2 linked regions of the Canis lupus familiaris genome follow. The protein of the gene in region 1 interacts with the protein of each later gene in a pairwise test. Links are inferred from orthologs where the notes say so. Each region holds a gene or a part of one and is shown in the gene's direction. Other genes may lie near its edges. The genes, in order: TFDP1 and E2F6.

The links.
Region 2: the proteins of TFDP1 (region 1) and E2F6 interact in binary tests that used the Homo sapiens proteins (3 or more experiments, as listed by UniProt). The link is inferred for Canis lupus familiaris from reciprocal best matches to the Homo sapiens genes TFDP1 and E2F6.

What each region holds. Positions count from the first base shown.
Region 1 is NC_049243.1:61,046,916-61,050,731, forward strand, and holds part of TFDP1 (transcription factor Dp-1), read left to right. Parts: intron 1-578; coding exon 579-730; intron 731-1,425; coding exon 1,426-1,592; intron 1,593-2,365; coding exon 2,366-2,444; intron 2,445-3,816. UniProt on the Homo sapiens protein: Can stimulate E2F-dependent transcription.
Region 2 is NC_049238.1:8,172,448-8,176,263, reverse strand, and holds part of E2F6 (transcription factor E2F6), read left to right. Parts: intron 1-25; coding exon 26-242; intron 243-2,503; coding exon 2,504-2,659; intron 2,660-3,816. UniProt on the Homo sapiens protein: Inhibitor of E2F-dependent transcription. Binds DNA cooperatively with DP proteins through the E2 recognition site, 5'-TTTC[CG]CGC-3'. Has a preference for the 5'-TTTCCCGC-3' E2F recognition site.

The sequences.
Region 1 (3,816 bases):
CACGAGGCTACTTTAAAATATCCAGTCACTGCCTCTCCTGCCTAGCTGTGAGCCCCAAGTCCCCTCCCAGGCGCTGTGGCCTGGGGCTAGCTGAGGAGGGAGGGGTGCTTCCTGGCTTTCACCTGACCACACGCGAGTTATGGTGAAGGTGTACGTCACTGCAGAGCTCAGGGCCCACACCCTCAGAGCCCTGTGCCAGCGGGTCTGCAGATGTTTGCTGCTCCAGGTCCGTATGGGGGCATGGCCCCATGTCTGCCTTCTCGGGACCCAGAGGGGCAGGAGGAATGGAATATCCAGCATTGATGCGTTTCTTTTAACCATTCCCGGGAGACGTTTTTATCTCAGTGGCCTGAGCATTTGCCTCCATTCCCCTTGGGCTGTTTGGTGTTCAGGGTGTGCATCCTCTGCTGAGCCCTCAACGGGGCCTGCGTCTCCCCCTGGTTTGCTCTGGCCTCTCATGGGCCTGACCCCTGTTGCTGTCCTGTGGGGTTGGGCAGAGTTGTTGGGACACCTATGGACAAGGCCTTCGATTGGTGGCAGCTGGTGTGAGCAGCGTGCTGGTGGCTCATCTTTTTTAGCAAATTGCCTTCAAGAATTTGGTGCAGAGGAACCGCCAGGCGGAGCAGCAGGCCAGCCGGCCGCCGCCCCCCAACTCCGTCATCCACCTGCCCTTCATCATCGTCAATACCAGCAAGAAGACCGTGATCGACTGCAGCATTTCCAACGACAAGTAGGTCCATTGATGAGTGGGCCCCTACTCTGAGGTCCCAGCTGAGCCTCAGGTCAGCGTGGAGAAAGCCACTGTCACACTCAGAAGTAGCATGTTCACTTTTTTTTTTTTAAGATTTTATTTATTTATTCATGAGAGACACAGAGAGAGAGAGAGAGAGGCAGAGACACAGGCAGAGGGAGAAGCAGGCTCCATGCAGGGAGCCCGACGTGGGACTCAATCCCGGGTCTCCAGGATCACGCCCTGGGCCAAAGGGGATGCTAAACTGCTGAGCCACCCGGGCTGCCCCCACTTACTTCTTTATAGAAGTATCTAATTTGTGATTATTGTATATAGTCTTTCAGTGTAATGAGATGATAGACTTCTTTTTCACATCCCTGGTTTTGTGTTTATCTCTTAAAATGTAAAATCTCTCAGGGTTATTATTAGCGCATCCGTTTAAACCTTGTACAAGCAGTAGCCAGTGTTCAGTTTCAGCATTGGCCTGAGGTGTGGGCAGTTGCCCCACGCTCAGCTCTGTGATGCCTGCTGCTTCTGCGGTGATGGGTTTTGTGGGATGCCAGATGAGAAAAGGTCCTGGGAGGCTGGGCTGAGTGACTCTGCTTGGGGCCCCATGTGTCCCGTGTGCCCCACATGCCTGCACCGTCAGGAACGTGGCATGTGGTTCATTTTCCGGTGGTGACTTTGTCTCTCAGGTTTGAGTATCTCTTCAACTTTGACAACACGTTTGAGATCCACGATGACATAGAAGTGCTGAAGCGCATGGGGATGGCCTGTGGGCTGGAGTCCGGAAGCTGCTCTGCTGAAGACCTGAAGATGGCTAGGAGTTTGGTGCCGAAAGCACTGGAACCCTATGTGACAGGTCAGTCTTGTCCGGTCCCCTTGGTGGCCATGGGGCCAGATCCCCGCTCTGGATGTGTGGCCCGCCTTTGCAGAGGCCAAATCCAGCACCGGGCACCAGGAGTGGACTCAGCCAGGAAGGGGGCCCTGGGGCCGTGAGGCGGGTAGGGTACAGGGCCGGCAGGCTGGACGCCATATTGGCATTGTGTGGTTTATGTGACGGAGGTATTAAGTTAGGATTTCACCTTCTGGGTTCAAGAAGGCAGGGACTGGAATGTCAGAGGGTGTGGACGAGGTGGGTGGTTGACCTCTGAGGTCCCACAACCAGAAGAGGCTCTGGGGAGTGCTGTGCTCTGCCTCTTCCCGATGTGGGGGTGAGGACGGGTTTGCCTGGGGGGCAGTTCTCTGCTTTCGCTGCCCTTCTGGGGACTCCTTTGAGGAGCCATGGGGTCGTGGCCACGGAGGGGCTTTGTGGTGAGAAGGCTGCTGGCCCTGCACTGCCTGGGGGTGTGGATCTCCTCCCAGAGCCACTGGGCTGGATCAGACACCACAGCAGCTGCCAGCAGTGCATGCCATCTCCTGGGATGGGGAGTCAGGGTTGGTCCTCCTGCTCTCGACCCCACTTTCAAACAGTGTCCATTTACGGGACAGCTGCATGGTCATCAGTGATCACGTAAACCAAGGACTGGGTGCCTTCTTGGGCAGGATGGCTGGTGTCCTGGCACAGAAGCTGCAGGGCGGGTCAGCTGTCTGGCCTGTACCTGTGACCTTTGCCTTGTTTTCTTCTCATTTCAGAGATGGCTCAGGGATCAATCGGAGGGGTGTTCGTCACGTCATCAGTTTCAACCTCAAATGGCACAAGGCTCTCTGCCAGGTACTACAGCTCTGGGCTGGCTGGTGGGTGGAGCCCCTGGCTCTCCTGAAGACCGTCCTGCCTCCTCCAGGGCTCCCCACTGGCTCCCTCGCGTGGATGGCGGATCCCCACACTCTGCCCACAGTTTTGGCTGCTCCCGGCCACAGCTCCTCTTGAGCTGCATCCCCTGAAGGCCCATCGTAGCTCATCCCCTGGGTACACAGGATCCTCTTGCTTAGGGTTTCTTCCCCCTAAAACATCAAAGTGATGCGCGTGCCTTTTATTTGTTAAAAAGTAGGATGCATTGAAGGTAGGGCTGGAATTGCCTGAGCTCTTGCTGGCAGCCTGAGGGATGGGGTGTTTCTCCGTCTGTTTCCTATTTCTGTTTAACACAGTTGAGATCACAGTGGACATAAAACTTTATCCCTGCTTTCTTTTTTTTAAGATTGTATTTATTTGAGAGATAGAGTGTGTGTGCACAGGAGCACGGGGAGGGGCAGAGGGAGAGGGAGATGGGGACCCCTCGCTGAGCAGGGAGCCCGATGTGGGGCTCAATCCCAGGACCCTGGGATCATGACCTGAGGCCAAGGCAGATGCTTCATTGACTGAGCCACCCGGGGCCTCTGTTTTTTGCTTTATTATTTACTGTATGTGTTTTTTTTTGTGTGTTACTGAAGTTTTATTATTTAAATCACCATGTAGTAGCCTTTGAACTAGCCATCCTGCAAAAGCAGGATTATGTTGTCGCTGGGTATTTATCTTAGTTTTCTAAAGATTAACATAAGATAATTTCTGCATTAAGTATTGACAAAACAATGGTTTTATTAACTTTCATGTTATGTTATACGTTATTATACATATTGTCTCATATCAGTCTTAAATACTAATAAATGTCTAATTTCTTGAAGCGTGAAATAGATTAGTGGTCTATAGGTTCAACAGAATGGAATTGATCTGCTCAAGGGTGATGTGGCGCTCTGTGGCCGTCACCGGCTTCTGGGTTCTGTGACACGAGTGAAGCTCTTGACTTGCGCCATGCGATGGGCTGGCTGTGGGGTTGTCACCGCAGTCCTTTGTGTAGTATCTGGCCCCCATCAGATTTAGGCAGAGGTCAGCTCAGTAGGTGGTCGTAACCTTCCCGCTGTGCACGGGTGGTTGTGAGTCTGTGGGATGCTGAGCACTGGTTATTCCAAGAGGCGGAATTTGGGTATTAATGCAGGTTTATAGCAAGGTAAGGAGAGCCACTACCATTTCAGAAGAAAAACTAGTGTAGAAACTGGCACTGATACTTTACCGAGGCACAGTGATTTCTTGGACAGTTAGGTGGTTCCCACTTAGAAGAAAAGATGCAATTTGAAGTCGTTTTTTGGCTAAATTTTTTTACCCTTTCTGA
Region 2 (3,816 bases), on another chromosome or scaffold:
CAAATTTGTCTGTTTTGTTTCCCAGAAGCTCTAAAAGTGAAGAGACCTCGTTTTGATGTATCTCTGGTTTATTTAACTCGAAAATTTATGGATCTTGTCAGATCTGCTCCTGGGGGTATTCTCGACTTAAACAAGGTTGCCACAAAACTGGGAGTGCGAAAACGGAGAGTATATGACATCACCAATGTCTTAGATGGAATCGATCTGGTTGAAAAAAAGTCTAAGAACCATATTCGATGGATGTGAGTTGGTTTCGAAATTTTCATGGCCTTTTTTTTTCTTCCTTCTAATTAAGTGACGATACTGTACTTGAAACAGACTAGATATTAGTGTTTTGACAGGACAAAACAAAGTAAGAGATGACTTCTTGTTAGAAAAGGATTCTACAGAAATTTCTCACAAGGTCCAACAAGGTACATAAATATTTTTTTTTTCCTACTTAGGGCTAAATAAAAGCCATAGACCTAAAATATAATTCTGATGTTATGGAAAAGTTGAATGGAATAATGATCAGTTCTAAGAGTTTTGATTTTCAAGATCCTAGGAAGGGGACGTCCGATTGTTTAGGAGATTTTTTTTTTTCCCCAATTGATTGTTGATATCAGGAGAAACTAGTTAAGGTTGTAAAACAATGTCAGGTAATAAACACTTAGAGACCTCATGCCCCAGGGGTTGTATGTAATTCATTTGTTCTTTGGCAAAGGCAGGAATCTAATCTACCTTCTTAACAGCTACCCCAGGTAATTATGAATCAGATGGGCTCAGATCCATAGGATCGCATACTGCCCTAAATGTAAAAAAAAAAAAAAAAAAAAAAAAAAATCCGTAGACAATATCTAAAAGGCAATTGCTGGGGGTGCCTGTGTGGCTCAGTCATTTAAGTGTCCAACTCTTGATTTCGGCTCAGCTCGTGATCTCAGAGATCAAGCTCTGCACTGAGCATAGAAGCCTGCTTGAGATTCTTTCTCTCCATTTCCCCACCTGCCCTCTCTCGTACTCACACTCTCTCTCTCAAAAAAAGAAGCATTTGCTAAAGACTTCAATTTCATTAGGAAGGATCGTGGAAAAAAGGCCTTTTGATACAGATGTAGATATACATGTGTATATGCACATGTGCATAACAAGAAAGCTTTTAATACTTAAAATAGACAAATATTTCAGATCAGTAAGAAACAGTTCCAGCATATAAGTACATATAAATATATTTCATTTCAGGCAAATGAAAAATCTAACAAAAAAGATCATGAAATGGCTCTAAGTAATGCACTTTGCTGTTAGAGGAAAGTGGTTCATAAAAGGAAGTTATTTATTCCAATAGTACAGAAATGCAGATTGAATTCTAATCTGAATATTAGCTAAAAAATATTAAATAACACTTTAGGACTTTTTGTTTTTTAGGATTTTATTCATTCATTTGAGAGAGAGAGGGAGAGCACACAGAGGGAGAGGGAAAGGGAGAAGCCAAACTCCCCGCTGAGCAGGGAGCCTGATGTGGGTCTTGATCCGGGACCCCGAGATCATAACCTGAGCCAAAGGCAGACACTTGACTGACTAAGCCACCCAGGCACCCCACACTTTAGGGGTTAATATCAGATTGCATTCTAAATCACTACTTAAAATCAGATTTGAAAACTACCAAGCAAAAGGTAAAGTGGTCACAGCCTTTTTCCTCTTTATTTTCCATAAAGAAGAAAAATTAGTATCAGTGGACTCAGGTCATATCATACCAATGTAATAGGTAAACCATAACAACTAAGGAAAATATATCTTCTGAGAATAAAGAATATAACATTATATTCTTTTTTTTTTTTTTTTAATTTTTTATTTATTTATGATAGGCACACAGTGAGAGAGAGAGAGAGAGGCAGAGACACAGGCAGAGGGAGAAGCAGGCTCCATGCACCAGGAGTCCGAAGTGGGATTCGATCCCAGGTCTCCAGGATCGCGCCCTGGGCCAAAGGCAGGCACTAAACCGCTGCGCCACCCAGGGATCCCTATAACATTATATTCAGATAGAACCAAGTAGAATATGCATTTGAGAGGGAAAATACTCAGAATTTTAGCAAAAGTACTATAATTTTAGTCAGTACTCCTTGTTTTTCATAGGGTACTAAAAGATTAGAACTACCAAAGTCCTACTGTAGGTAGGAGAGCTGGGGCTTACACTGGGTATTATTGGTTCTCAGTCTGTGCTCAGTGAACTCCATCAGCTTTCCTTACTACTGTTAATTTCCCTAGTTATAAGGGTTTTGTTTTTGTTTTTGTTTTTGTTTTATCCCTGTGTAAGAGACTAGAAATGGGGACAAAAGCCAGTCTATGTGTAGGAGGAATAATGGTTGTCTAAAAGGAGGTCAGGGTTGATGTTCAAGTACCTAGTTTTGTCTGTCATTCTGGGAAATACCTGATGTCAACATTTGGAGAAGTTCTAGGAATCTAACTTTTCTCCTAGATGTGTCTGATGGTGATTTTTTTAATTTATTTTTTTAATACCTTTCCTCTAAAGAGGATCTGATCTTAGCAATTTTGGAGCAGTGCCCCAACAGAAGAAGCTGCAGGAGGAACTTTCTGACTTATCAGCAATGGAAGATGCTTTGGATGAGTTAATTAAGGATTGTGCTCAGCAGTTGTTTGAATTAACAGACGACAAAGAAAATGAAAGATATCCTTTAACTCTGTCTTTTTTTTTAACTTTTTATTTAAATTCAATTTAACATATACTGTGTTGTTTCAGAGGTAGAATTTAGTGATTCATCCGTTGCACACAATACCCAGTGTTCATCACACCCCGTCTCGTTCCCTCCTTAATGCCCATCACCCAGTTCCTCCCCCACCTTTCCTCCAGCACCCTCAGTTTGTTAACACTGTCCTTTTTTAAAAAAAATCTCTCCTTTCAAACCAGGTTACTTTAAATAGTAGGATCAGTTTGGGGATTTAATTAATATATTCAAAGCACAAAACTAGAGCTTTAGAACTTTTAAAAGTAAGTAAAGGTTAAATTGTGTAGCCTGAGGTATACACAAATAATTGCTGTTTTGCTGGTATTTGCTCACGTTAAATGCTGCATTGTGACCATGTACCAAGATCAGTGTTTGCATTTAAAATGAAAATAGTGGTGTGTTCTTGTTTGTTTTTTTAGTCAAAGAATGCTGTAAAGGTAGTAAAATATGTTGTTGGCATTTGTGAAATTGACATTTTTCCTAATTTGTTAACCGGAGTTTATTTCTGAAACAACTTGTCATTGAGACAGTACTAGTGCTGCCACTCTGGCCCACAAAGCCTGGTGTAGCTGGATGTGCCTCTGGGACCAGCAGGGGAGACGGGGCAGTGGTGGCAATCTTCTCCTGTGTCTCCCGGCCCATCTGCTGCTCCGTTCTTGCCTCACCTGAATGAGGCGTCACTGATTCCGAGCTGTTCCATGCCTCAAATTTACTTAGATTCTGTATCAGTCAGATGTTTCCAGAGTCCAGTTTACTGGAAGGAAAGTAAATGCTGTTCCTCTTCCCAATCAAAAAGTAAACCAAAAATGTTGGGGAACCAAGTAAATCACATAATTGGTAAAATTTCAAGTAACACAGTAAAGATAAAAAAAATTCACATAGATGGAAAATATTTGGGATACAGGAAATCGCATAAGTATATGATAGCCCCAAAGCACATACTCTCCTAGTGGCTTCTGCTCTTTCTTAGATTTTTTTCCACTTGCATTTTAGGAGATTGTCATCAAAACAGTGTTTTGTCCCCAAAAATTCTCATAGTAAGATCCAGCAGTGAATAGGGAAGTGGAAGCAGGGAGTAAACACCTTCACCTGAGTTGTT